4 linked regions of the Arabidopsis thaliana genome follow. The protein of the gene in region 1 interacts with the protein of each later gene in a pairwise test. Each region holds a gene or a part of one and is shown on either strand. Other genes may lie near its edges.

Region 1 (5,037 bases):
TTATACTATTTGGAGGCATCAACGACTTACATAATTTATATGAGATTATTAATCTATAATATGAATACAATATATATATCTAATGATCCATCATCCATCCACCAGTAAGAACCATCAATAACTCGCAAGTCGTAACAAATTGTAAGTGAGTAACAAACATCCGAATATTAAAACTTTTATATCCTCTTTTGTAACTGTATCTTACTCACTTTTTTTTTAATAATGAAAACAAATTATATTGATTTCAACATATTTTTGAAATGATGACTAAATTAATCTTGTAAAGCCGCTACACATATAATCATCAGTTAGTTTAAAATATGACAGATTACGGACCACATGTCCCAAAAAATTAGGATACACAATTTATGATGAAATGACAACAAACCAACTTTAAATTCTACTTCTTATTTTTTTTGTGGGTTGTAGGATATGTTCAATTGTTCATTAAAGACTTCATCTAAAAGTCAATACATAATCAGAGTTTTTAAAACTAAAAAACGCTAGTAATGGTTAGAGAGTAGAATTAAAAAGCTAAGATTTTATTGGTAAAATAGTAAACATAACAACGAATTATTCATTTTGGGAAAAAACTATTAGATAACACACACAAGAAACGACAAGTAGCAGAGTAGGGATCAAAACACATGTACATGTACACACACCTACATACACACATTTATATGTATGCACATATCAAGTTGTGATTGATCATCAAACCGACAGACACATGTTGGGCAATAAATATGACACAAACACAGAGATATTGAAGTTTCCTCTCTTTTGGTCACATTACAAGTTTGTCCACATCTTACTGGTAAAATACTGCCCTATATACCCATCAAGTATTTAAAATTACAACACACATATATAGGTGATAGCCACATACAATCATAAAAATACATATAAAATCAAGAACCCGTCATATTGTTGATCATTGATGCTTCTTTTTTTTTATTATTAATTCAAGATCTGTTCTTGCAGTACTTCTCCATTGCTCTCGGAGCTATAACCAAGAAAACAGAATTATATTAAAATAAAAAGAAAATTGGTAAAAATTGAAAAACAAAAAAAAAAAAAAAAAGTTAGAGATGTACCAAGTCCAACTGCTTCAGATCCCTTCATAATGCGCAAACGTTTGCAAGACTCGACAAACATTCTGAAATAGGTATTCAAGTTTACGGTTAGAACATTAGAATATGAGTCGTTAACATTTAAAGTTTATTCTAAGGTTTTTGGCAATAATATGATGATGTGCCAGCTACGAATGAGCTCTAAACATATCGATACTATTGTATAATTTTTGAAAGATCCTCTTGTCTCTTGCCAACCAATGCATGGTTGTACGTATTTATAACACATGGATGTTGAATATCTTTGGCTTTGTCTCTACCAATTTCGGGAAATGTGGTTAACGAGTCAAGTTATAAGTTATAAAAAAAAGTATATGAAACGATTAAATTTGACTCACTCCCATGGGACATCGCCAACGAGCATCCAGTCACCATCTTTGTCCTCGTAGCTTGGCACATACTCAGAGCTATTCAGCAGATTCATTAGCTTGCTCTCGTTCATGAAATCTATCATTCCTTGTGCTCCATAGTTTCCTTGAAGATATTCAAGACATTCAAAAATCATATAAATTTATGTGTCATTATTGTGTAATATATATAATACATATTTAAGTTGTATACATTTAGCAAAATCTCATCTTGTTAATATGTATAGGGTTCGAATGTATAGTTCTATGACTCTAACTCGGTAAGGTTCATGAGTTTTGTATGAATAAATGTAGTAAATGATATACTTTAATATACGAATATAGTTTTTTCACACTTTCCGATTTGAAATTTCTAATACGTACCCATAGTAAAGGAGCTGAACATTTTGGCCAATGCATCAGAAAGATCCTGGTAGCTTTTGTACATCTTGAGGTCAACTTTCCTCAGATATGGAGCACCGTCCATGGAGACCTTCACCAAGCCGGCTCCGGCTGCTCCTCCACCAAAGTTCCCGGCCTTCTCACTGCTGGCCTCCTCCGCACCACTACTGGTCTTCTGCTGAGTCATCATGTTCTTCCTGTAGTTCCTCACAGGTGGCCATCCCACCACTTGTGCTCTACATAGAACAACATTATTTAGATAGGTGTATATCAACCAATGTAATTATTAGTTACCATTACTGCCTTTATGGGCTTGATTGTAAGTTATAACATGTATTATTTCATGTTTGCTTGTACGCATGTATGTATTGGTGTTTAAGTTTCAACCACGCTTTAATTATTATTATATTATTTCTTAGTATTATATTGATAGAAAACAAATATAACTTCAAAGAATCAAAGTTATGCATATAAATTTTAACAAAAAAAGGTAATGTATATGGGAAGTATATATATATATATATATATATATATATATATATATATAACTAACATTACAAATTTCAAGAATTTTTAGTTTATTCATATGTTTATGTAAATCCCTCACAATATTTATGTTCTGCGAGGACATATAACTATGAAATTTATATATATTCGAATATTCTAAGAACTTAGACATAGATGTGTATAAACACGTATATATGTATATATATGGACTGGAAAAAACTAAGAACTTTTTAACCAAAAAAAAAAAAAATCTAAGAATATATATATATGTAAATGTGTAGCTTACTTAGCAGGAGGCTTAGAAGGATCTTTAAGGGTAGTCTTCTCCTTGGGAACAGCAGAAACGTTTTTGAGATCAACGGAGCCTTCTTTGTTAGATTGAAGATTGAGCATGAGATCAACGGTTTCGGAGAAGCCTCTCTTGCTTCCCACCGCCGATTTGGCAGGACTCTCAACTGCTTCAGCGCCGCCGGGGAGGCCGAGACAGAGCTCCGTGGCCTTGAGGTTCATAAGTTGGCCGATCATGTTACTTGTAATAGATTAGAAATATTGTTTCTCTCTCTGAAAAGGTAAGAGGGGAAGAAGAAAGGAGAGGAAGGGGCAATAATAATATAAGGAGGGAGGATGGTGGTGGGGTGTATGTATTCGTGTAATTGCATGTGCATGTCTTTTGCTCTTTTTTCTTCATTGGTGGGGTTTATGACACGTGGGCTTGATTAGATGTTAGTTAATCATTTCTTCTCTGTTACTACAAAATTAAGCTAAGATAATTTTGTTTTGTTAATCTTCCATCTAGAAAGTTTTGAATGGTGACCGGGAAATTATGTTTTAATTAACTACGAGGATCAGGTCACATATTGATCATGATATGTAATGTAATTATTGTAGAACCGCGAAAATCCGGAGAGAAAACTTTGAAAACGATTACAAAGATTCCAAAAATATGATCATTCTTATTTTTGTGACAAACTTCACTGAAAAACTCGCCGAAAAGTTAGCCGGAAATACTTTGTAAAATTGAAGTTCCAACAGTTACGTGGTAGTGATGTTTTGTGATACTATCCGAATTCAAATAGTATGTATGAAGTCAAGTTATTCTTGACAATATATATATATACATATATGATATATTTTATAAAAGACTTTGGTATGATAATAAAAAGATGGGACATATTTCTCATATCTTACCAATTTGAAGAAAGAGATGATCTATGAGAATATTGAGAGCAACATATCTCTTACATAACCAAGTCATCTTGCTCCAATAGTAAAAGAGTGAAAAAATTTGCCACTTGAGTTCATGTAATATTGGCCATCATGGTTCGAATTCTAACATTAGTTTTTCCGAATCTCATAATTGGTGTTTGGATCTAAAAGTATTTTAGCATCATCTTTGTTATCAAAAAATAAAAAAAAAGACATATATATCTCTCACATCTTACCAAAATTTACATGTAATGTTTGCTTGACTTTTCGTATCTAATAGTCGGACTAAACCAATATGGGTCTTTTGACTCTGACGTAGTACTTATCATCGACAAATTTTCCTAAATAGCACATTAGATCACATATATTGGTTGTATAATTGTGTTCAGCATTTTTACTTAGAAATATATACAAACAAACTACAAAAAGTTTTGTTTGTTCTTCTCGTACGGTTCTGACATTTTTTTTAAATTTATTTGGTTCTGACATTAAACATACATTATAGTTCATAGTGAGCTACATCGTCTATTCTGGAGTTTCAGGATGTAGTTTGTTTATAAATTTGTAATGGTTGGGTTAGGTCATGTAGTTTTAAACATATTTCAGCTGGTTCTACCACTCTGTGTAGCTTTAGTATTTTAGCATTTGTACTATGACTCTATGAGTCAATACAAAGCTAGCATATAACTAGGTAGTATATAATACTTATATAGTATGAAACGAATTCAGATTGTTTGTTAAAGAAGAAAAGAATAAGTTCTCACAACATGTCTATATATAAACTATGAATGTATTAATTACTTCTATGTTTTGTTAATAGCCTATTTGTTACACTTTGTCTCCTCTGGTCAACTGTTCATCGCATATAAAGCAAGTGGAATTGGGCGGTGAAATTCCGTTAACCAAATTTGGTCAACATTCTAATTAGTTTGTGTCAAGCAATACAACTATACAAGTCACGTATATTATTTTAATTGTTTACGGTCTCCCGTTTTCTCTGTATCATCTTGGTTATTAAATGTGTCTTACTAAAAAATTAAAAATAAAAGAATAGTACTACTCATTAATAAGCATAGACATTTGTGGTATATAAACAGAGAATCTATTAATTGGTCTAGGTACATGTTCTTAGTGAGGACACTGAGTGAAGACTGACATCGATTTTCTTCTTCCCAACATAAAAAATGAACTTAATGCTTCTTTGTAATGTGAAAAGACTTGTAATTTTTACAGATGAAATCAAGGGCCATTGCATCATGGCTGACGAGACTGAGGAAAGTTCCTGTATTTTTACACTTAATTTTGTGATCCGTTTTGATCAAAAAAAAAAATTGTGATCCGTTTTATATATACATTTGATGCGCAACCAATCGAGTGAAAATATGTGAAATTATGTAGTTTTCTTAAGAATCGAGGCTTTTGAAACTTAAATATTTATGATT
Region 2 (7,651 bases), on another chromosome or scaffold:
TCCCATTCCGATAAAACCGAACAAGAAAAAGTTATATTGCAAGATATTTTCCAAATTCACAACAATTTCGATCAATTATCGAAATGACGTTTATTTTCTCAAGTTAATAGGAGTTAGATTTCCTTTTTTACCATGTTATAATATTCTAATTATCTTAACATGAAGACGCAAACAAAAACCATACTCATTCTACAAATTTCGTTTCATATTCTTTGGTGAAAACTAAACTTACTATAAACGATATTGTGAAAAAAAAAACTTACTATAAACGATAAGGGCATATATTAATTTACCTACCAATAAAAATGTCCTACGAACTACGGATCGATACGTGTCTAGAGATAAAGTTTTTGCTGACGCAAAATGAGATCTAATTTTAGGGTAAAGCCCCAAATTGCGGGTCGGAATATTTTGGTGTTTCACACAACAAAACCACAAAACGCTTTCACTTCCAATAAGGAGATTGGGACCCAAATCACTTTCTCTGTGGACCATTTTAGTCAGACAAAGTCTTAATGTAACTCCAAAATAACCCTTCACTATCATATTGATTGAAGAAATGAGTAAGGAAAGTGACATATATAGAGTTCAGTAAAAATATTCATATAAGAAAAAGACCAAAAGATCTTATAATTACAGTATTACGAGTCGACAGAGGGATTATATAGTTTTTGTTTCCATCAAAGGCAAAGGCAAATCTCCCTTTTTTATAAGTAATAAAGAGAGATTTTTGCTAGTAATTAAACTAAGATGATCTCACTACTAATTTATAAGATTGAAACTTAACTTGAATAAAAAGGGAGGTTTCCATCTACTTCTAGTAGTTGAATGAACCCCCAACTGATGCGATACCGTTACCGAGATTCCTCGGGTCTGACCGGTTCCCAAAGTCGTCACAGTTCCCGTTGCTCGGGAGCTTATCGACATTGTTGGAAGATGGCGCGGAGTTGAGAAGCTCAAGGCCTCTTTTTCCCATTTGTTGCACTTCTTGTGGTGACAGTATCTTAATGCACCACACGCTGCTCACAAACTCCCTGTCGATAATGGTAAATGCAGGTAAATAAACATGGAAATGGACAAAACCAAATGCGGAAATGAGGGATAAGTTAATAAACTCACGGCCAAGGGTCATCGCCGAGGAGAAGAACGTCGTTCTCTCGGTCAACAAATACAAGCTGCCAGCCTGATCTCACAGGGTCTTCTAATTGGCCTTCGAGGCCAAACATGCGAGCAAGCTCGCTTCGCAGCTCGTGGTAGCTGCTAAACTTTGATATATCTAACGATCTTCCAAAAGACCCTGACTTGTACACCTACAAAAACATTTCCGGAATCATCGCTATGCATGCAAACAAGAAGAACATTTTGGGTAGGGAAAAGAAATAAAACTTTACCTTCACAAAGGTGTTAGATTGTGGGTTCTCGGAACCGAGGTTTTCTGAGGATTGTAGAAAACCCGATTCATCTATGCAACTAGAAGGTGTTGTCATTGCAAGATTACCCGAGAAATCATTGTTGAAATTAGATGATGTGAAGGGTAAAGTCGTGGAGTCACCACCTTCAATACCAATGCTTCTAAGGTTTGACATTCCGTTCGGCATCAAAAGAGAAGATGAATCTATATTGACTCCAAAGAGAAGATGGCTATGCGGGTCTGAGGCGCTTCCTTCTTGCTCGATCGAGCACTCTCTACCACCGGGAAATGGAGGCAACGAGACAGCGTTTGGAGGAACGTTGCTTGTGTGGGACTGTCCCAGTTGCTCCAATACGGATTGAGTGTTATTATTACCGGCTCCAGAGTGCTGGAACGATGAATCAACTGCAGGACGCTTTGATGGCCAACCGGATGAAGTCATTGCAGAGTTTGTTCTAGTGAGGTGGAGCAGTTGAGAAGATTCGTCTTGAGAGAAGTTACTGAGAAGAGTGTGAAGTGGAGAAATAGGATTGTTTCCTCCGTTGGTATCGGAGAAGCTTTGCTGATGACACAGAGAGGTCATGGACTGGAGTGGTGACGTGTTGGGCTGAGAAGCAGAACCAAATTGAGACATAGCGGAAACAACAGCAGCACTGGACGCAGACGGATTATGATTATCCACTACTTGCTGCTGCTGCTGAGAAAGATGATTGTTTGACTGTGATTGAGCCTGAGACTGAGGCTGGTGGGTTTCAGGAACGCCAAGATACGCCTGTTGCTGCTGCTGCTGAGAGAGTTGTTGCTGCTGCTGTTGAGAGAGCTGCTGCTGCTGCTGTTGAGAGAGCTGTTGCTGCTGCTGTTGGGAGAGCTGTTGCTGCTGCTGCTGCTGCTGAGAGAGTTGTTGCTGCTGCTGAGAGAGTTGCTGCTGCAGCATCTGCGGCTGCACTAAGGACGGAGATTGCATTGAGAACCCCGGCGAATTTTGGAACTGAAGAAGTGAAGCAGCAGCTTTTGCAGGATCAATGCCTCTCATGTCTTGAAGGGCAGCTGCAGCCATTGCTTGGTACACATCATTTTGCATACCAAGCAAGCCCGACGTATCAAGTCTCGGCTGCATCCACGGGTTTACTCCCATACCTTGAAAGTTTAGAGATTGGAGTCCTCGATCCCACATAAGCGGTGAACTCATACTCATACCCATATCATCTTCTTTAAGGCCTGCAACCAAAATTAGAAGATATAAAAGACTAGAAATAGAAACCTTTCAGAGATTTGTTAAAGTTTTGAAATTTACAATACCATGGAAAGATGGGAGACCAGGAGGCCACGGCCGTTTAAGCCTGAGAGGAAAAGGAGATGGATACATAGGGAATGTTGTTAAAGGCTCAATCTCCCACAATGAAACCCTTGGCTGTCTCTCTCCTGCAGTAGATTCGTCCCACCCAACCTGCATTTTGATCAGATGATGAATGATATATGTATACGAGAATGCAAAGACCAATGAATATTTTCTACTAAAGGTTTGGTTTTGAGCTAAACCTTGACAGATCGCCAATGCGAATTAGCCCAACGAGTAGGATCTAGATCACAAATGCCAGTTATTGTACCCATGTACCTGACAACAAACGAAGATTCTTAAGGACATTCAGCAGCAAAAAGCAGAGTAAATTATAGGAACTCTGATAATTCACCTACCGACGAACACTAGATTCTTCAGTTTCAAACAGCATCCTAAACCGCATACCAACAGAGACGCGAGTGTGATAAACCGCTTTCACATACTTAGCCAGGGGTATAACAAACTCTGATGGACTCGCCCTGCAGAAAAACCGAATCCGTTTGATGCAAAACGAAGAGAATCAACACATAAGTGCATTCATAAGGTACTTAAGACGATACCTCGGGTTATAGAAGATGGTGAATCGGCTGTTTGTAGCGGCAGCATGAGCTGCTGCAGCAAGAAGGCCTAAATGCATACTGTCACTTGACAAAACAGATGAAGGCATGACAGTTTGTGGTCGGTTGGCTCGTCTTATACCAAGAAGTAATTGATTCTTATCGTTCCTAGCATTACAAATACTTGAGTCAGTTTCATGATTTGAATGTAACACTTAAACAAAAACCCCAATTTGAAAGATGTTTCTAACCAGATGAAAAGAACAGAGTCACCAGCAACAAGCCTTTTAGCACTCACAAATACGCTCCAACCCGTGGTAAGGAGATGTCTCTTTGGTTGGCCTATAACGCAGAAACAAATACAGATTAAATAAATCTCTTTGTTCTTCAGCTATTAATAAGAACTTGGATTTTTCACGAAGAAAGCTAACCTCGGAAAATATGCCTGAACTTCCATTCATTATCATGCAGATCCCTCGCCATTAACTCTTGAGCTGGTGGCTGCTGCGAGTAATCCTGAAGAACACATAAAATTTTATTGTTAAGGAGGCAATAGCTAATCTTGAAAGTAGAATTCATATGAACAATAAGATGAATTACCAAGGGAGGGAAAACTTTCTCAGCAGCTCGGCGAGGTACAGAAAAACCTCCGTGAGTGCTTGTATCACTAGCAGTCAGAGTTTTACAGAAATAGTTTGTAGGCTGTCTACTTGGGACACCTAATTCCGCGGGAAGGTAAGGATCTTTTTGCTCTTGCTGCATTCAAACCAAGCAAAGAAGGTTCAAAACACCGACAAATTCCACAAAATTAATTATGAATTACATAGTAAAGTCTCATACCGCATTCAACGGTTGCAAAGTCATCTGTGCATAGACTTCATCAGTCTCCACATCAGCCTGAAATGGTAAGGAATCAAGTTCTTAACTAACACACAAACAGAAAAGACACTTAGAAAAGTTTGTCATAAAAACTGATAGTGAGTTCCTTACATGCATTGTAACATTATGAAGCTGACAGATAAGCTGCGGATGCAAGCTCGGATAATTTGGTATATGAGCATCTACTTCTTTGTTGGTCGAAGCAGCAACCTGAAAACCACAAAACATTCTCAAGTAACCTGTAACCAAAAAGGAAAGATTTGAATCCAAATCATAAAAGGAAGGAGACAAAAACCTGTTCACTGTGACCTTGAGGAAAATACACAACTCTGCTTCCAACAGGAGGTAGTGAGACAAGAGGACCAGCACAAGCATGCCAGAGCTCAGAATTAAGAACTCTTTTCTCTCCTGTAACTTTCAATCCAAAACTCACAAAGTTAGTTTAAAATCACTATTTGCTAGAAGTATCAAAGCAATAGAGAGAGAAAAGAGAGAATTACCTTCATGAGGTTGAGGATTAAACCCAGCTGAAGATAATCTCATTTTTTATTCTAACTTAAAAAGCAAACAACAAAGAACAAAAAAAAAAACACAACTTTGTTTCTTCAAAGATCCAAAGATTTCAAGATGCCCAAATGTAATTATGAAGAAGAGACACTAAAAGCATAACTTTTTTAACTGTTTCCCTCCACCTCCCACCCATTCACCAACCAAATCTAAAAACCCTAAAAAAAACAGATTTATTTCTTCTTCCCTGAAATAAATCATCAGCCAAATAAGCTCGCAATCTTGGTCTCGCCGACTTCAAAACCGCTTCTTCGAATCTTCAACTCCTTCATACTTGTAACTTACTTAATCCACCCCACTCATAACTCCCACTTAAAATTGTAAAAAACAAAACTTTGATAGTCGTTTGGGTTTCTCCAGAAAAACCCACCACCGCCAAAAGCTCAGAAGCCAAGAAAAAAAGAAACACAGATCTCGAGCTAACTAAAACGACAGAAGCTGGTGCCGTTTCTTCTTCTATAAGCTGGCTTAATCGAGATCTCAGGCGAAGTATATGATTAATGCAAAGATCGGGAAATGAGAAACAGAGAGATATGGGGCATGCACTTGCTCAACTGTTGCAGAACATGGGTACACAGAGAATAATCAAAGATAGACAAAGATAGAAAGAAAGAGACTGTTTTTATTTTTATGTTGAAGAATGATTTTTTTTTTCCGGTAACGAAATACGGCGGCGACGTGACGGTGCTATAATTATTTGTTTATTCTTCTCTCTGCTAAAGTTTTACTTACTTCTCTCTCTCTCTCTCTTATTTGAAATGAGAATCAGAAGAAGAAGAAAGAACGACAATGGCTGTTTTTTGACCCGAACCCGAACGGAGCGGGTCTTTGATTTTCTTCTAAAGCAACTTGTTGTTCTGAAAGGACACTTAATTTACTAATTTACCCCTTATTTCCTTTTTATTTACAGTTTGGGACTCGTGCCTTTTTTTAATTTATGCTTCTCCCGAATTTCAAAACTTCGTTGCGTCGTCCATGTAATTAAAATTGAGTACTATTATGGTTTTAATAATACGTTATGGTACAAAGGAAAAAAAAAAAAATAATAATACGTTATGGTACCATCATATATTATAGTATTACATGATCGTATTTCTTACTCTTTTTTTTTTCTTTGTCATAGTAGTTTTATAAAAATTATGTGTTGTTGTAGATTTTTTTCAGCTAGTGGATGACCAAAGGCTTTTTTATACTAGAGTTTTAGTGAACTATTGCAAATAAAATGAATCAATTTGTTTTAGGAAAAATATCATTGCTGTAGAAATCCTTTGGTTTACTGGTCAAGGTTTAAAAGTTCTGTTTGGAGTACATAAGTACTCTTTCATTGGCTATTTTATTTTGCCTCATTATTTGATTGTGTAATGTGAAAATGGAAGTGTGCGAATTACAGCAAAATTTATTTTATATAGAATATAGCAATAAGTCAATATATATAGACAGTGAAATCACCTGATAAAAATGACAGGACGTGCTTTTAGGGTTTCCTGATTCTATTTTTTTTTTTTTTATGTATATAATAGTAGTTCGAATTGCATGTAGAAGAGGGTATAATTGGTAATATATATGTATAATACACACTTCCTCGTTTGGAAATTTGCGAATCTGATTTCTTCAGCTATATATTGTAATAAAGAATATACGTGTTTTTTCTTAAGATTCCAATAAATTTTAATTAGATAATTTTATCCGAAAGAAAGAAAAAAATTTAGAGAACATGAATTTTGATTCCAAACAATGGAGATAGTGATCATTTACCTAGGGGAAATGACAAGACTGCCCTAAGAAGGCACGTGCAACTTCTTGACGTAAACAAGGGTAACGTTGGAAACAGCATTATATACAAATAGATCAGTACCATCGCCATATCTTTTGTAGATTTTATTTATTTATTTGTATTAAATTCAGTTGCATTATTGTCAGTTGCTAGAAAATTCGGCTAATGTGTTTTTATGCAAGAAAGTGATATACGTACATAAAACATCAGCATCAAAAGTATCCAACTAGCATTTGTTTATGCAACTAATTCTTAAGCAAAACCTTAAAAATTTGCGACAAATTAGAAACGTAGCTTATAGCTAGTACCCTAGTGCTTGTTTATTATATACAGAGAACATGTTATACAAAATAACAGTTATTACTTAACATTTTCCCACACAAACAAATATAAAAATATAACAGTTATTAGTTATTATATACACTAGATTTCACAAGTTATGTTTTAAAAAATGGATATATAGAATTATGGGTGAATTTAGTGAAAACAATGGAAGATTTCAGAATTACTTAACATAAAAAATTAAAAATGACAAATAAGGTGACTAGGTGAGTAATAAATAATTAAAAATTCGCTTTTAGAGACATCTTCTCATTTCTTTTCTTTTTTGTTTTTGTTACTTCATATTTCTCTCTCCCCCCTATTTTACAAATAATTTATTTAGTATAATCAACATATGTCAATTATCATGTTAAACTATTAATTTTTGTTATGTTTCAATATGAAACTAATTTTGAAGGCATCATCGATTATATGTCATGTATATAACAAAGCGTAGATTTGTAATTTTTGTAATGATGTTCCTAACATAGTTTCCTGGCGGCCAAAATAGTGCTTCTTAGTCATACTTGATCAATTCTGCTTACAAAATCATTCATTGACTTTTGTCATTCTCGTATTCGTATTGCAATGGAAATCAATTTTGATATGAACCAAAACGAATTTGTGAATGGTCAAATTCTTTTAACTAGCTATCACACCACTCTATACGTTTTGAATTGGGTCACAAGATTCTCAAAAGCGAAATCTTTCTTTATTAAGAACAGCCGGTATGTATATACGAATATGTATTAATATATTTCTGTCGGCGATATATACAAAGTTGAATTGACGGGTAATATATA
Region 3 (5,904 bases), about 15 Mb from region 1:
CACCAAACCAATACTAAGTTTGAAAATAATTGTATTGTTTTCTTCTTCATTATAAGGCAAATCTGAATTAAAAGTTTAAAACAATATTTTTTTTTTTGACAAATATCAACTACAGTATACACTTCATATGTGACTTTATCCGAAAACAAAATAGATTTTCTTTCTTTTGTCATTTGCATTTTATTAAAGAAAAATCTGATGCAGCTAAAAGGTTTGGAAATTAAAACTTAAGAATTTTTATAGAGAACATCATGGAGACTTATTTTTGGCACGATAACATGAACTTCCAAAGTTTAGTTTTCATTTTTTTCGATTTCAGTTCAATTTTCTAATAACACTATATCCTAGAAGTTCATTAATCCACAAATATTTTTACCAACTCCAAAAGAGAATCTTAACTAGTCGTTTGACTCCTTTACTTTTCCATGACTTTCATATGATGCCCGCCGCGTTGATTTCCACGCCTTCACGTATTTTGTATTCTTCTCTAATACTGTAGTTTTTTTTTTTTTAAGCCTTAATTATTGATTAGAAATATAATCTTTGAACCCATAACTAATTGAATGTACTTGGTTTTGAAAATTGAATGGTTATGGAACAAGTACATACACATAAAAGATGTAAAACCGCCCCATCAACCACTGTCCCAAAACCGAAATATTAAATCGCCAACTTGAAAAATTGACATGAAAAAGAGGACAAGACTTTATATACACAGACTAAAAAAAAAGTCTTTAGACACTTACGCACTAAAACGACGTCGCCGAATTAACCTTAATTAACAGCTAAAACTCTCACCCCCTACTACGATTTTCGAATGATTCATTACCATATTCCTCATTCTCTAACGACGAAGAAATCTTCAGTTTCGTTGTCATTTTCTTAACCTCATCGCTCGAATATATAAATATCTTCTTTGCCATCTTGCAAAACTCACTGCACAATCCCACACAACAGAACATTGCAAAATCAGTTCCGGTTTAAGTTCACATTTAACTGATTTGAGCTAAACCGGAAATGTTTAACTCTGTTATTTTAGAACTTACTTCCACGGATCATCACCAGCAAGCATCATATCTCCTTCATCATCAGTGAAGACAACGATCCATTTGTCTCGGGCAAGAAGCTGTCCTTGAATCTCAAACATCTCCTCAAGCTCATCAATCAGTTCATCGTAAGATTTCAACAGTGTTAAATCAACCGCACGACCAACCGCAATGCCTTGCATTTGCACCTTTTTCAATCCAAGATCAAAGAAATCAGATTTTCAAAACATTGTTGCTATGTTATTATATGAGTTGATAAAGAAAATTACTTTAGTTCGACTTCTTGATGTTTGTTGCTTCTTCTGCTCACTCATTGAGGTTGGAGTGATGGGTTCTTGACACTTGGCAGCTCCACAAGTATCCATCGGTTGCTTGTCTTGAGGGATTGGAGCAGGAGAATTGCTTGTGAGATCAAATCCAAACAACCTATAGCTACAATTCGTTGGAGGAGGAGGAGTCTCGGGTTTGAAGCTGTTGTTTGAGGAGTATCCACCTGAAATTCTCTCAAGTGATGGATCTTGAAACAGTTTAAGGGATGCATTAATGGAATCTTGGCTCTGAGGGAGGCTGTACAAGAAACTAGGTGGGGCTGGTGTTTTAACTGATGGCTCGATGGGTCTTGACCGCTTGCATTTCGATTGTGGTTGTTGAGCAGGAGTTGAAATTGGGGAAGTTGCCAAGAAAGGCTCTATCTCCCATGGTGAGACTTTATCTGGTCTCTGAACTGTTGTTGGCTCATCCCATTGTACCTAAGAAAGACCAAGACAAAAACGTTATATAAAGACCACGTAATAAGTAAAACACTAAAATGTAAGAACGTGGAATGGTTAACTGAACCTGCAATGACCTCCATTTAGAAGCTGGCCATTGTGAAGATAGATCTCCACTTCCCACAATCGTACCAGTAAATCTGAAGACGTTCCAGGTTTCAGAATCAAGAACACTGACAAAAAAGAAATGATCAGAGAAAATGGATTCTTACATTCTCTCAGGAGACTCTTCTCCTTCAAACCTCATTCTGAATCGGGTACCGAGAGAAAATCCATGCTTTATAGCTTCCATATACTTGTTCACCCCAACTATGAATTGGCTTATCCTGCAAAGAGAGAAAACTTTTCTTCAATCAAAGAGTCCTAAACCATCTATGTATATAAAGCAAAATCATCTAAAGAACATTACTATATACCTAGGCTTGTAAAAGACAACAAAGATTGTTGTTGTACGCACAGCATGAGAAGCTGTAGCAAGAACTCCCAAATGCATGCTCTGACTTGAAATAACCGAAGTAGGCATTGTGCTTTGATGCCGAGCTAATCGTCTCACTCCAACCCGTAAATCCCCATTCTCACCCCTGAAAAACACAAAGGCATTACATTTAGGTTCATGAAACTAAACAAGACCAGTGAATAAAGTTTCAATTTCAAAAGTACCTCAAGAACACAAAAGCATCTCCAGCTACAAGTCTTTTCGAGGATACAAATGTACTCCAACCCGTAGTAAGCAAATGCCTCCGTGGTTGTCCTAAACCAAAAACGGCACTCAATGAGTCAATGTCTCATTTAGTCCAAACACAGTTTCACAAAAACACACCAAGATTAGAATCAATACCTCTGAATATATGCTTAAACCTCCATTCAAAGCCATGAAGATCTCTAGTCACAAGTTCTTGAGTAGGAGTAGCTTGTGTCATATCCTAAAAAGTGTAAAATTGGAGTGAGAATTCAAGCTAAAGTTTCTTGAATTGAGAAGGTTTCTTTAAGAATATATTTACCAAAGAAGGCAAGCATTCAGTGGCGTGTTTACGAAGAACAGAGAATCCACCATGAGTGCTTGTATCTGAAGCCGTTAAAATCTTAACAAACGAATGAAACTCTTGCTTAGTTGGTCCAACAATAGGTGGATCAAGACTTGTTGGTTCACTTTGCTGCAAACAAAACAGTAAATTGAAATCAATTCCAATCAATATAAATTAACACTCACTGAAATAAAGTTGAGTTTTTTTTTTAAGAACTTACATCTTCCTCTGGTTGTAATGTGATCTGAGCGTAAACCTCATCTGTTTCATGCTCCGCCTATAAATCAAAATTTAGTTAACAGATTCAGGGGAAATAAAACATTTTAACATTTATGATCCAACTTTACCTTTAAAGTGACATCAAGAACTCGACAAAGTATCTTTGGAGGAAGATCAAAAACAGGTATTTCTTCTGAATTGATTCCTTGATTAGTTGACGCCACAAGCTGCAAAAAAACCCAGAATTTAGAAAGAGAATGGAAAAAGAAAAATTGGGGTAAAAAGAGATGATTTTTGGGTGGGTATATACTTGTTCCATGTGACCCTGAGGGAAGTAGAAAACTCTCTCTTGAGCACGAGGAACTTCCACTAATGGACCTGCACAAACTTTCCATAGCTCTGTGTATAGTTGATCTTGATAAGACCCTAAAATCAAACAACAACAAAACCCTAACAGTCACATTTCCGCGGCAAAACTATAACAAAAATGTGAACTTTGAAGCTATACGAGAAAAATAAGAAAGTTGGGGTTTTTTCTATTTCTTTCTAAGCTCGTCTCCCGAGAAAATGAAAGAAAAAAAAATCGAAACTTTACAAAGCTGATTTTGATTCTACAGAGTAAAACCCCAAACAGAGTCACTGTTAGAAACAAAAAAAAAAACAAAACTTTCTAAAGTCTCAGCCTTTTACTACTCACTTGACGAAGAACTTCCGAAATCATCATCACCTTCAACACTCGCCATTGAAGAACCCAGATGAGAACTGGAGAAGAAGAAGTAGAAGGAGAGGAAATGAAAGAAAATAGAAAGAAAAAAAAACCTTCACGCGGTAAACACTAGTCTTAACCCCATGAAAGAAACACGAGAGAGAGAAGAAAGAAAAGACCCATCAATGGAGAAAATAAAAAAAGCAAAACTTTATAAACAGGACACAACGGACGGTTATGTCCGTATTGATTGCAGAACGTAATTCAGGCACTGTTGGATAAAACTAAATCTCTCCCCTTTTTTTTTCCGTCAGCCACGAAACCGATCTCTCTCTCTCTTCCTCTTAAAATCTTTTTTTTTTTTTGTCTTCTCCTTTCCTTTCAGATTCCGTGTTGTTTTGCTTCAACAATCACAAACTTCTCGCCGTTTTTATCCCGATCCGCAGCAAACCAAAGCTGCTTCCTTTACTGAAGAAGTCTCACAGTATCATGCACATACATATATTCACACTCTCTCCTTCTTTATCTCTCTCTATATATCAAAATATAGAGAGACTTTCTCTTAGTTCAGATCCTGGAGACCTGTCATTTCCACCCACAGTAACTTCAGTTGAATCTCCCTATTTTTCTATTCATTTAATTAAATGTTTTCTAAAATTGTTGTTTTTTGTTTTATCATGTCATCGCTAAAAAGGAAACTCAAATATATTAAATGCGCTAAAATAAAACAAATTGTATTCAAAGGCAAACGAAGGGTCACGCGGCGTTTTGGGAATTGCTTATGAACTAATTACATTTTATTATGTAAAAAAAAAACGTACGGTGCATTTAAAGGAGAGGGCAAATCTCAGCCGTCCGATCAAGACGATAGTAATAAATAAGCTTATGACTTTACTCTATATCCCTAAATTGCCCTTTTTACTGATGACCCCGTTGCCGTTAGCACTTGACGGTGCCGTTACCCACATCGTCTTGTGTCTGGATCGTGGCAGGCAAACGTGTCGGCTTCTCTATTAAACCCCGGCCACATTTTCTTTTTTCCGTTATTTTTTTTTTTTGTGTAACATCAGATAGATTGTTTTTTCCGTTACAGATTTAATTTTTATTTAACACTGTGGAATGTGAGTTAATTACACATTATGCCATTGATCGTTTTTTTTATTTAGGACCCACAAAGGCTATGGCTACACCCACACTCGCACAAGGTCACAGCCATGACTCTTTATGGGACGAGCGTCTTGGGAAGCGTGTGAGTTTTATGTTACCACGTGCCGAGTCAGTTCTGAGTCGCTGGTGTTCATGCTGTATTCTTTTTTTTCTTTCACGCGCTTTTAATCTTAGCAAATCAAAAATCGAAATTATTTGAAAAATTCATGTTTACGGATTTCATATAATTATCGTTAATTGCTTTTATAGAAGGAACTTTTGAAACGTCAAATTTAAAAAATTAAATCGGATAGAGGTGGGAGACACGCGCTTAGTAAATGAGAATGGTGAAGAAGAGTGATAAAAAGTTGAGAAAGCCATGCCGAAGTGTCGGAGGAGAAAGTGGTCCCCACATGGACACGTCAGAGTAAGAGAAATTGCCACGCTGTTTAGTCGTATTCATGACCGACACGTGTCAAATGCTGACTTGTCCTACCAATTTTGCTCATTTACAGAGGAAATTCTATCGCTATTTTTCTTATTTTATTTTATTTTTCCCAATGATAGTGAAGAAAGACTATGATCCAAAAATATTATTGCGTTTTGATTTGTGTACACCCTTGTATTTAATAAAATTTGCAACACGAATCAATGTTGGCTTGTAACCACCCGATGAGACTAATGCTATCACTCGATACTATTTGGGTTTCAAAATCTTTTTTATAGCTTAAGATTTACCTAGAAAACGTCGACGATATTACATAGCCTTACCACTCTTTTTTACTTACAAGTTTGTATAATCATAAGTTCATAGTATTTTTATGTTACCATATACGAGTATTTATTTCCACTCAAAGTTATAGTGTAGACTGTAGAGTTCTCTCGCTAATTACATAAGGCCTACAAATGTGTGTTGTTGATAGTGAAACACTATTACAACATTCAAGCTTCGTTGATGAAGATTATGTGGCCGCGTTACAAGACGAAATATA
Region 4 (7,017 bases), on another chromosome or scaffold:
TGCCATGGTTACGTTTACGCATTTTGGGCAATTGCAGAATTTTAAACACAGAAAGGTAATAATCATAATCAATCATGTACTATTTTAAAATAAATTTGCAAAAAAGCATAATGAAAATTTCTGTGTGCACCATTTTTCAACTAAAATAGTACATACATTATCCCACATATTTTGGTACATTGTAAAAAATGAAATGACAGCATTACAATGGCTTTCCCTCTAATTTCATTCCTTATAATGATGAAATACAGATATTGTGAAATATTCCTAAAATGATAAAAATCTAATTCTAATATAGAAAATATAATAAAATTAATGTTAAATTTAAGGAAAATATAATAAAATTAAGGTTAACTTTTAGTTGAAAAAAAGGCTAAATCTATGTCACATCATTCTATTTAATTAATCCGTGCAGTATACTCTAATATTTATTTTCCTTAAAAAAGATTAAATCATCATCAAATATCTAGTATGTATTAGATATCAATCTAAAAATAAATAAAAAAATTGTAAGAACAATACAAGAGTATCCACATATGTAAGAACTTAAGAAATGAAATTTTCAAAATCAAGCAAAATACTTCAAAACTAATATATATATTGTAATTTTGAAAACCTTAAAATCCAATGGCATGCTTTACACATCCCATAAACTCACATATCTCTCGAGTAAAACGGTACACATGAGACATCCATGGAGACCAGAAGAAACACAAACAAACACATAAATGGATTCAAAGACAAAGATAAAGTTGAAGTTCTTTTGTGAGCAAAACACACTTTAAAACATAGGAAATAAGCTTCTTTATGGGTATCAAACCCTAGTGATTGTAGGAGAAGAATCAGGCTGGCTCACAGAAGATGACTTTGATGCTTCCATCATGAGAGCAGCTTGCTCTAAACAACTCTTGTTATCGTCATTCGCATTCTCCACTTCCTCTTTCGTGTATAAGTGTATCTTCCACACCACATTGCAGAAATCACTATCCATAGCAGAAAGCCAATTTCAAGTTAGGAGAAAAGAAGTTGTGATTGACCTTTAGAAGGTATGTATAAAGAACTTACTGCCATGGATCATCGCCAACGACCATCATATCGTTCTCACTATCAGTATATAAGATCCTCCATCCTTTTTCAGGATCCCTGAGAAGCCCTTCCATGTTGAACAGCCGTTCAAGCTCCATAAGGAGATCATCATACCCGTTAAGTCGCGACAAATCAATAGCTCTCCCCACTTGGCTTCCTTGCTTGTGAACCTTTTGATAACAATTCAACACAAGAACTGATTAGAAGAGACATCTAAAACTGCAACTCAAAGTAGCCAAAGAGATGATAAAGAAAACGTTTTACCTTTGTACAGATTCTTTTGCTCGAGCTTTGCGGCTTAGATGCAGGTGTCTCCACTGGTAAGGAGAATCCGAAAAGTTTACATCCTGATGAAGCATTCATATTCAACTCACTGCCTTTCTGTTTTCCCATCATATCAATCTTGAATGGCAAATCAGCTGTAACATTATTTGGTAGGCCACCTTCATTTTGTGCATCAAACTTTCTAGTCTCTTCACCAAAGTTTATTGCACGTGAAGGGGGACCCGAGGATTGGTTTCCCGCATTGTATGGATTCTGATACGGAACATGAGTGCTCCTAATCCCATGCAAAGCTAGCGGATAGTAACTTGACTTGTTGGCTTGGTAAGCAAAGGGATTAGGAGCAGCAGCTGGACTGAAACCAGCAAATTGCGGGAATGATTTAAGCGAGCAAATTTCTTGACCTTGCAAGACCCTTGGAAACCTATCCAGGTCCATAACACCTGAACAAGCTGGGTTCACGCCAGTAGCATCTACAAACTCACCAAATCGATCCTTGACTCTACTCGACACAAGAACTGGATTTGCATGAGACTGCATCGCAAAATCCAGTATCCGGCGGTTCATAACATCAAACCCCTGTGAGGGTGATGCAGAACCTATATTTTCTTGACCTTGCAAGACCTTAGAGGGTCTAACCGACTCCTCAAAGTCCAAAAAACCACCCCTTTCTGCTGCAACCAAGAACAGTTATCAATAATATACTGATGAAAATTGAGAACTGTTTGCAAAAGCATATACTCCAAAGAGAAGAGAGGTCTATATAATTTACTTGTTATGGGGTTTCCGGGTGGGGTAGTATCCAGTAAACCTGCCCATGGCCTTTTAGGCCTTGGAGATGACTGAATGCTCAAGTGTGGGAGAGAAACCGAGGGATCAATCTCCCAAGGTGAAACTCTTTCTTGATGATCACTCACAAAAGACTCATCCCATCGCACCTGCCAAACAAATGTGAAAGATTTAGATATCAATCTTCGAAAATGAAAAGTCTTCTACACGTTAATAGACAGATACTCCAAAAAGATGAGAGGACGCACCAACAAGCACCTCCATTTAGAGTTTGGCCACCTATACGGGTCCAAGTCACAGACTCCAGTCACTACACCAGCGCATCTGCAAGAAAGATCGAATATAAATTCTCGTCCAACAATATTAGCTACACAACACAGAGAAAGAAGCAAGAAAGAAACAATACCTTCTCTCAGGAGAATCGTCCATTTCAAATCGCATTCTAAATCTTGTGCCTATGCAAACAGGACTCCTGATGCTTGTGATATACTTCTCATAAGGAATCACAAACTCTGCATGCGTCGCTCTGTATATAAATCCACAAATCAACATTATAGTTCTTTATTTCTTACTGAACCTAGTTAAGAATCATTACGAATGGCAGCTTTTCATTTTTATCTCACCGTGGACTGTAGAACACATGAAACATGCTTTTTGTAGATACAGCATTAGCCACAAGAGACAGAATGTTTGAACATGAATTCTTCTCAATGATTGAGTCAGGAAGTCCATTTCTTGGCCGTGCTGCTCTTCTGATTCCTAATCTCAGCTCTCCTCCTTCGTCTCTATAAACGCCGATATTAGTAATGAATGTAAACATTATTGGATCAAGGGCTTCAAACCACCAAAGCAGAGGGAAACACCATGAATCTACATCACCATTTGATAAACTGAAATCTTACGATTACCTCAGAAAGAGAACCGCATCACCAGAGACGAGATTCTTTTGACTGACAAAGATACTCCAACCAGTGGTGAGTAGATGCCTCCTTGGTTGACCTATATTAAAAAGAGACAGAACTAAACATTTTGGTTTCACTGACGAAGAAAAAAGAAACGAATAATAACAAACTCAAAACCACCTCTATAGATATGGCGAAACTTCCACTCTACTCCATGGAGGTCCTTTGCAATGAGCTCTTGAGATGGCCTCTGTTGTTTGTAGTCCTAACACCAGTGGAAAATTCACAAATAAGGCTTATAACAAGAAGATAAAACCTCTCCTTAAAAAAAAAAATAAGGAAATGAGATATAGAGAATTATACAAGAGGAGCAAAACAATCTTCAGCGGCTCTTCTAGGTACAGAGAAGCCTCCATGTGTGCTTGTGTCAGACGCTGTTAAGGTTTTACAGAACATATGAGGTGTCCGCTTGACGGATGAGCTTCCGTTCCTCTCTTCCTCCCCTCCTAACTCCTTGACCTCTTTCCCCTCCCCATTTAGCATCGAAAACTATAAAAACCAAGAAGTTACTTCAGCATCTTAACATCACAGAGATTATAAATGAAACTCAACAAGACCAACGGTTTCAGTGATTCCTCTGATCCTGTTAAACCAATGATGAGTTTGAGTCACTTAGAGAACAAACAAGATTATTCACAATCTCTTTAAACCGTAGCATCTAAAATCACACCTAGAATCTGGAATTACACTAGTGATATCAAAAATCAATTGAATTGTCAAAAAAGCAACAAGTTTGAGTAAAAGAGAGTACCTCTTGAAGTGGAAGCAGAGTGACTTGAGTGTAGACCTCATCGGTGTCCTTATTAGCCTTTTGTTTCCCCAAAAGAAGGAACCAAGTTTGCAAACAATTACCACAATTAGAGAAAGAAAACAGAACTTGTTCAAGAATAGTAAAATAGAACACAAAAGGAATGTTCTTTATTTGGGTAGAGTGATACAGACAGACTTACAAGCAACTGGACATTAACCACCCTGCAGACGATTTGGGGATTAAGGTCAAATTTGGGGATTTCAAGAGGAGACGAATATGAAACCATAGCATCTTGCTCCAAATGACCTTGAGGGAAATAGACAACTACATTGCCTTTCTTGGGAAGACAAGTGAGAGGACCAGCACAAGCATGCCAAAGCTCAGAGTAAATGGAAGATGCAGAGCCTGTAGAAGATGATGACGATGATGATCCGGAAGAGCATGAAGAAGAAGAAGATGGTGAAATTCCAAGCCTACCCTTGTCAATTCTTGTTCCTCCTCCTACTCCTACTCCTACATCATCATTCTCCTCCTCTTCCACCTCCGCAATCTCAGTATTCAAGTCAAATTCCATTGAAAAAGCTTCTCTTTTAAGAGCAAAAGGAGACAAGAAGAAAACAAAAAGTTTCTATTTTTAATCAGATTACAACAAAACAAGTAAAACCCATCAAAGGAAAGTTTGCAAAATTCGAGCTTTGAAGTGACAGAATTCGGAATTCCTCTCCTTTTTCAGCTAAATTTCACAAAGAAGAGGCAAACTTAGCTATTGACGGGAAAGATGAGTCATAAGTGTGGAATAACGAATCAGAGACAGAGAGAGAAGAAGAGAGAGGAAGGAGGAATCAAATGAGAACAAGGGTTTCAGAGAAGGATTCTTCTTCCTCCATTTGCAGGTACTGAGAAGAGGGAGCACAAGGAACAGACATAGACTAAAATTTGCAGATTGGAAAAAAATATACTTTTTAAAGAGCAAAAAAAAAACAATTTAGTGGAAAGAGAGAGAGAGAGAGAAAGAGAGGGAGAGATAAGCGGGGGAGACAAAGCCAAGACAGAACAGAACCCACACCTACACTCTCCCTTTCTCCTTCTTCTTCTTCTTCCTCTTCTTCTCTCTTTTTTGTTTTTGTTTCCCAATAAAGACTTATTTATTCACATGAAATTTTATATATAAAAACTATATTTGTGTCAATATACACACGTTTACACAAAATAAAAGTTTTCACTTTTTTGCTAATTATTACCGTTTTTGATTTTCGTCCTTTTTGTTGAAAGAAGAAATGTTAAAAGTTTAATTAGGTGCTAATAAGACTAATTCAATCCATTGTCTAGATTGTTTTCTTCAAAATCAACTGTTTTTTAAATACGTCAAACCATCGATGAATCAATCGTTTAATTATTCATACTAGACTATTCACTCAAAATGAACCATCAAAGTTTATATGCATCTATTGGATTTATGGTATTACGAAATTGACGTAACCCTTTGTTTTTCTCATTCACACCATAATTTTCTTTAACTTGTGTGAGTTGTGAGGAATAAAAACCGCAAATTGATTAGCTTTTTCTTTGCATACTCTTACAAAGGAAACAGTATCTCTTTGGAATCTTTCTTTGTTCTTTCTTTTTTTATGTTATGAATTTTTATTTGTTTTCGATTTATTAGAAAAAATGCTTTTTCATTGCGTTGTTAAGAGCCAACCAACCGGCTAAAGACAGAAGAGTAGGCTCCTTTCGATTTTGTAACAAAAGCACTTTTTCTCTCTTTTTCTGAGACAAACAATATGAAAATCAGCATTTTGTTATTGATTAACTAAAGTACTGTCTGTGTTTAAAAACCTAATCAACTAAAAAAAACTTTCAGCGGTCTGTAATATAAAATTTATACTTCAATAACCACACCGACTCTTTCAGTAAAATAAAACTACTCAAATACTTACTACTTATTGGATAAATATCTTCAAATGGGTTTAGTAAAAATAAATAAAATATATTTGATGGTCCAAATGATTGCTTCATAATTTGAAAACATTTATATATACATTTTTGCAGTCATTTTAGCAAATAAATCTTAGAGTTGAACTTATTTACAACCCAATGCCATTAGCATTAAATCTTTTTTTCAAAATAATTAATTTTACTTTAAATTTTTAATTTAAATTGTCAATCACATTATCAATCAAATTTAATCCAAACAAACTTCACATCAATCCCTTAAAATTAGCATAAACGTATTTTATTAACAAAATTTTTTGTTTAAATAAATATTGTTCTTACTAAATATTTTTTGTTTAAATAAACAAATCATGTATTTGAACTTATTTACAATGTCATGCTACTGACATTAATTATTTAGGCATGAAAATATTTATTTAAAGATTTAAATCTTTTAAATTTTGCTTTTAGAGTTATTATATCATTTACCTAAAAGGCAAAAAATATTAATTTTTTAAATATTATTATTTGTATATTTAAACTTCATAAAACATTATTAATATTTGAATTTATAAAAAGTTTAATCTATCAAAAATAATTAACATCATTATATAATATATAAAGTTTAAAAAAATCTCAAAAAAAATTTCGTCATATTTTGTAATTCGAAATTTTAAGAATGAACATATATTAACCAATTGGCGAAAAATGTGTGGGTACAACGTCCCGCAACGACTAAAATATTTTGACAATGATTCATAAACATATTATAAATAAGATCAACATTAATAAAATAAATAGTTTTTTTTTGTGGACGGGTTTGGCAGGACGGGTTTGGCAGGACGTTACTTAGTAACAATGGTAAACTATAAAATAATTTACAAATTTTTATATATATTAATTTTTAAAAATGAACTGTGTCCGCGGTGTACCGCGGGTTAAAATCTAGTAACATGTATTTTTGCTCATATAATATTAGTTTGCTACTAATTCATATAACCTGATCAAAGTATCATATTATGTTTTGTATATTCCTTTCACAATTTCGCAACTTACTTAATTATCTACTTTTAAAAACATTTGATTATGAGTAATAACCTTTCGTAACTTCATTGGAGAAGAAAAAAAAGAATAAGAAAAGAAGAAAACAAAAAGGATGATGGGATGGGAGAAGGAGAAAGAATGAGTCTCTTCTTCAGAAGTTGTGAGTTAGTG

What was found.
Region 2: the proteins of IAA7 (region 1) and ARF6 interact in a two-hybrid assay, tested with the Arabidopsis thaliana proteins (2 studies listed by BioGRID).
Region 3: the proteins of IAA7 (region 1) and ARF18 interact in binary tests that used the Arabidopsis thaliana proteins (3 or more experiments, as listed by UniProt).
Region 4: the proteins of IAA7 (region 1) and ARF4 interact in a two-hybrid assay, tested with the Arabidopsis thaliana proteins (2 studies listed by BioGRID).

The regions. Positions count from the first base shown.
Region 1 is NC_003074.8:8,192,645-8,197,681, reverse strand, and holds IAA7 (indole-3-acetic acid 7), read right to left. Parts: upstream 3,077-5,037; 5' UTR 2,915-3,076; coding exon 2,676-2,914; intron 2,119-2,675; coding exon 1,865-2,118; coding exon of another isoform or gene 1,854-1,864; exon of another isoform or gene 1,608-1,853; coding exon 1,472-1,607; coding exon of another isoform or gene 1,468-1,471; exon of another isoform or gene 1,160-1,467; coding exon 1,098-1,159; intron 1,007-1,097; coding exon 966-1,006; 3' UTR 527-965; downstream 1-526.
Region 2 is NC_003070.9:10,685,308-10,692,958, forward strand, and holds ARF6 (auxin response factor 6), read right to left. Parts: upstream 5,682-7,651; 5' UTR 4,730-5,681; coding exon 4,687-4,729; intron 4,601-4,686; coding exon 4,482-4,600; intron 4,397-4,481; coding exon 4,298-4,396; intron 4,205-4,297; coding exon 4,148-4,204; intron 4,064-4,147; coding exon 3,908-4,063; intron 3,824-3,907; coding exon 3,739-3,823; intron 3,650-3,738; coding exon 3,559-3,649; intron 3,476-3,558; coding exon 3,311-3,475; intron 3,230-3,310; coding exon 3,107-3,229; intron 3,027-3,106; coding exon 2,951-3,026; intron 2,859-2,950; coding exon 2,711-2,858; intron 2,630-2,710; coding exon 1,392-2,629; intron 1,311-1,391; coding exon 1,120-1,310; intron 1,035-1,119; coding exon 818-1,034; 3' UTR 515-817; downstream 1-514. UniProt on the Arabidopsis thaliana protein: Auxin response factors (ARFs) are transcriptional factors that bind specifically to the DNA sequence 5'-TGTCTC-3' found in the auxin-responsive promoter elements (AuxREs). Seems to act as transcriptional activator.
Region 3 is NC_003074.8:22,886,070-22,891,973, reverse strand, and holds ARF18 (auxin response factor 18), read right to left. Parts: upstream 4,086-5,904; 5' UTR 3,804-4,085; coding exon 3,758-3,803; intron 3,707-3,757; exon of another isoform or gene 3,487-3,706; coding exon 3,371-3,486; intron 3,288-3,370; coding exon 3,189-3,287; intron 3,119-3,188; coding exon 3,062-3,118; intron 2,971-3,061; coding exon 2,818-2,970; intron 2,740-2,817; coding exon 2,655-2,739; intron 2,568-2,654; coding exon 2,477-2,567; intron 2,398-2,476; coding exon 2,233-2,397; intron 2,143-2,232; coding exon 2,029-2,142; intron 1,957-2,028; coding exon 1,884-1,956; intron 1,796-1,883; coding exon 1,316-1,795; intron 1,235-1,315; coding exon 1,047-1,234; intron 937-1,046; coding exon 795-936; 3' UTR 519-794; downstream 1-518. Other genes in the region: AT3G61829 (uncharacterized protein), read left to right, coding at 4,652-4,783; AT3G61826 (uncharacterized protein), read left to right, coding at 5,251-5,343. UniProt on the Arabidopsis thaliana protein: Auxin response factors (ARFs) are transcriptional factors that bind specifically to the DNA sequence 5'-TGTCTC-3' found in the auxin-responsive promoter elements (AuxREs). Could act as transcriptional activator or repressor.
Region 4 is NC_003076.8:24,307,744-24,314,760, forward strand, and holds ARF4 (auxin response factor 4), read right to left. Parts: upstream 5,042-7,017; 5' UTR 4,445-5,041; coding exon 4,070-4,444; intron 3,928-4,069; coding exon 3,871-3,927; intron 3,609-3,870; coding exon 3,423-3,608; intron 3,325-3,422; coding exon 3,240-3,324; intron 3,157-3,239; coding exon 3,066-3,156; intron 2,943-3,065; coding exon 2,781-2,942; intron 2,684-2,780; coding exon 2,564-2,683; intron 2,482-2,563; coding exon 2,406-2,481; intron 2,307-2,405; coding exon 2,141-2,306; intron 2,040-2,140; coding exon 1,351-2,039; intron 1,257-1,350; coding exon 1,066-1,256; intron 984-1,065; coding exon 815-983; 3' UTR 512-814; downstream 1-511. UniProt on the Arabidopsis thaliana protein: Auxin response factors (ARFs) are transcriptional factors that bind specifically to the DNA sequence 5'-TGTCTC-3' found in the auxin-responsive promoter elements (AuxREs). Could act as transcriptional activator or repressor.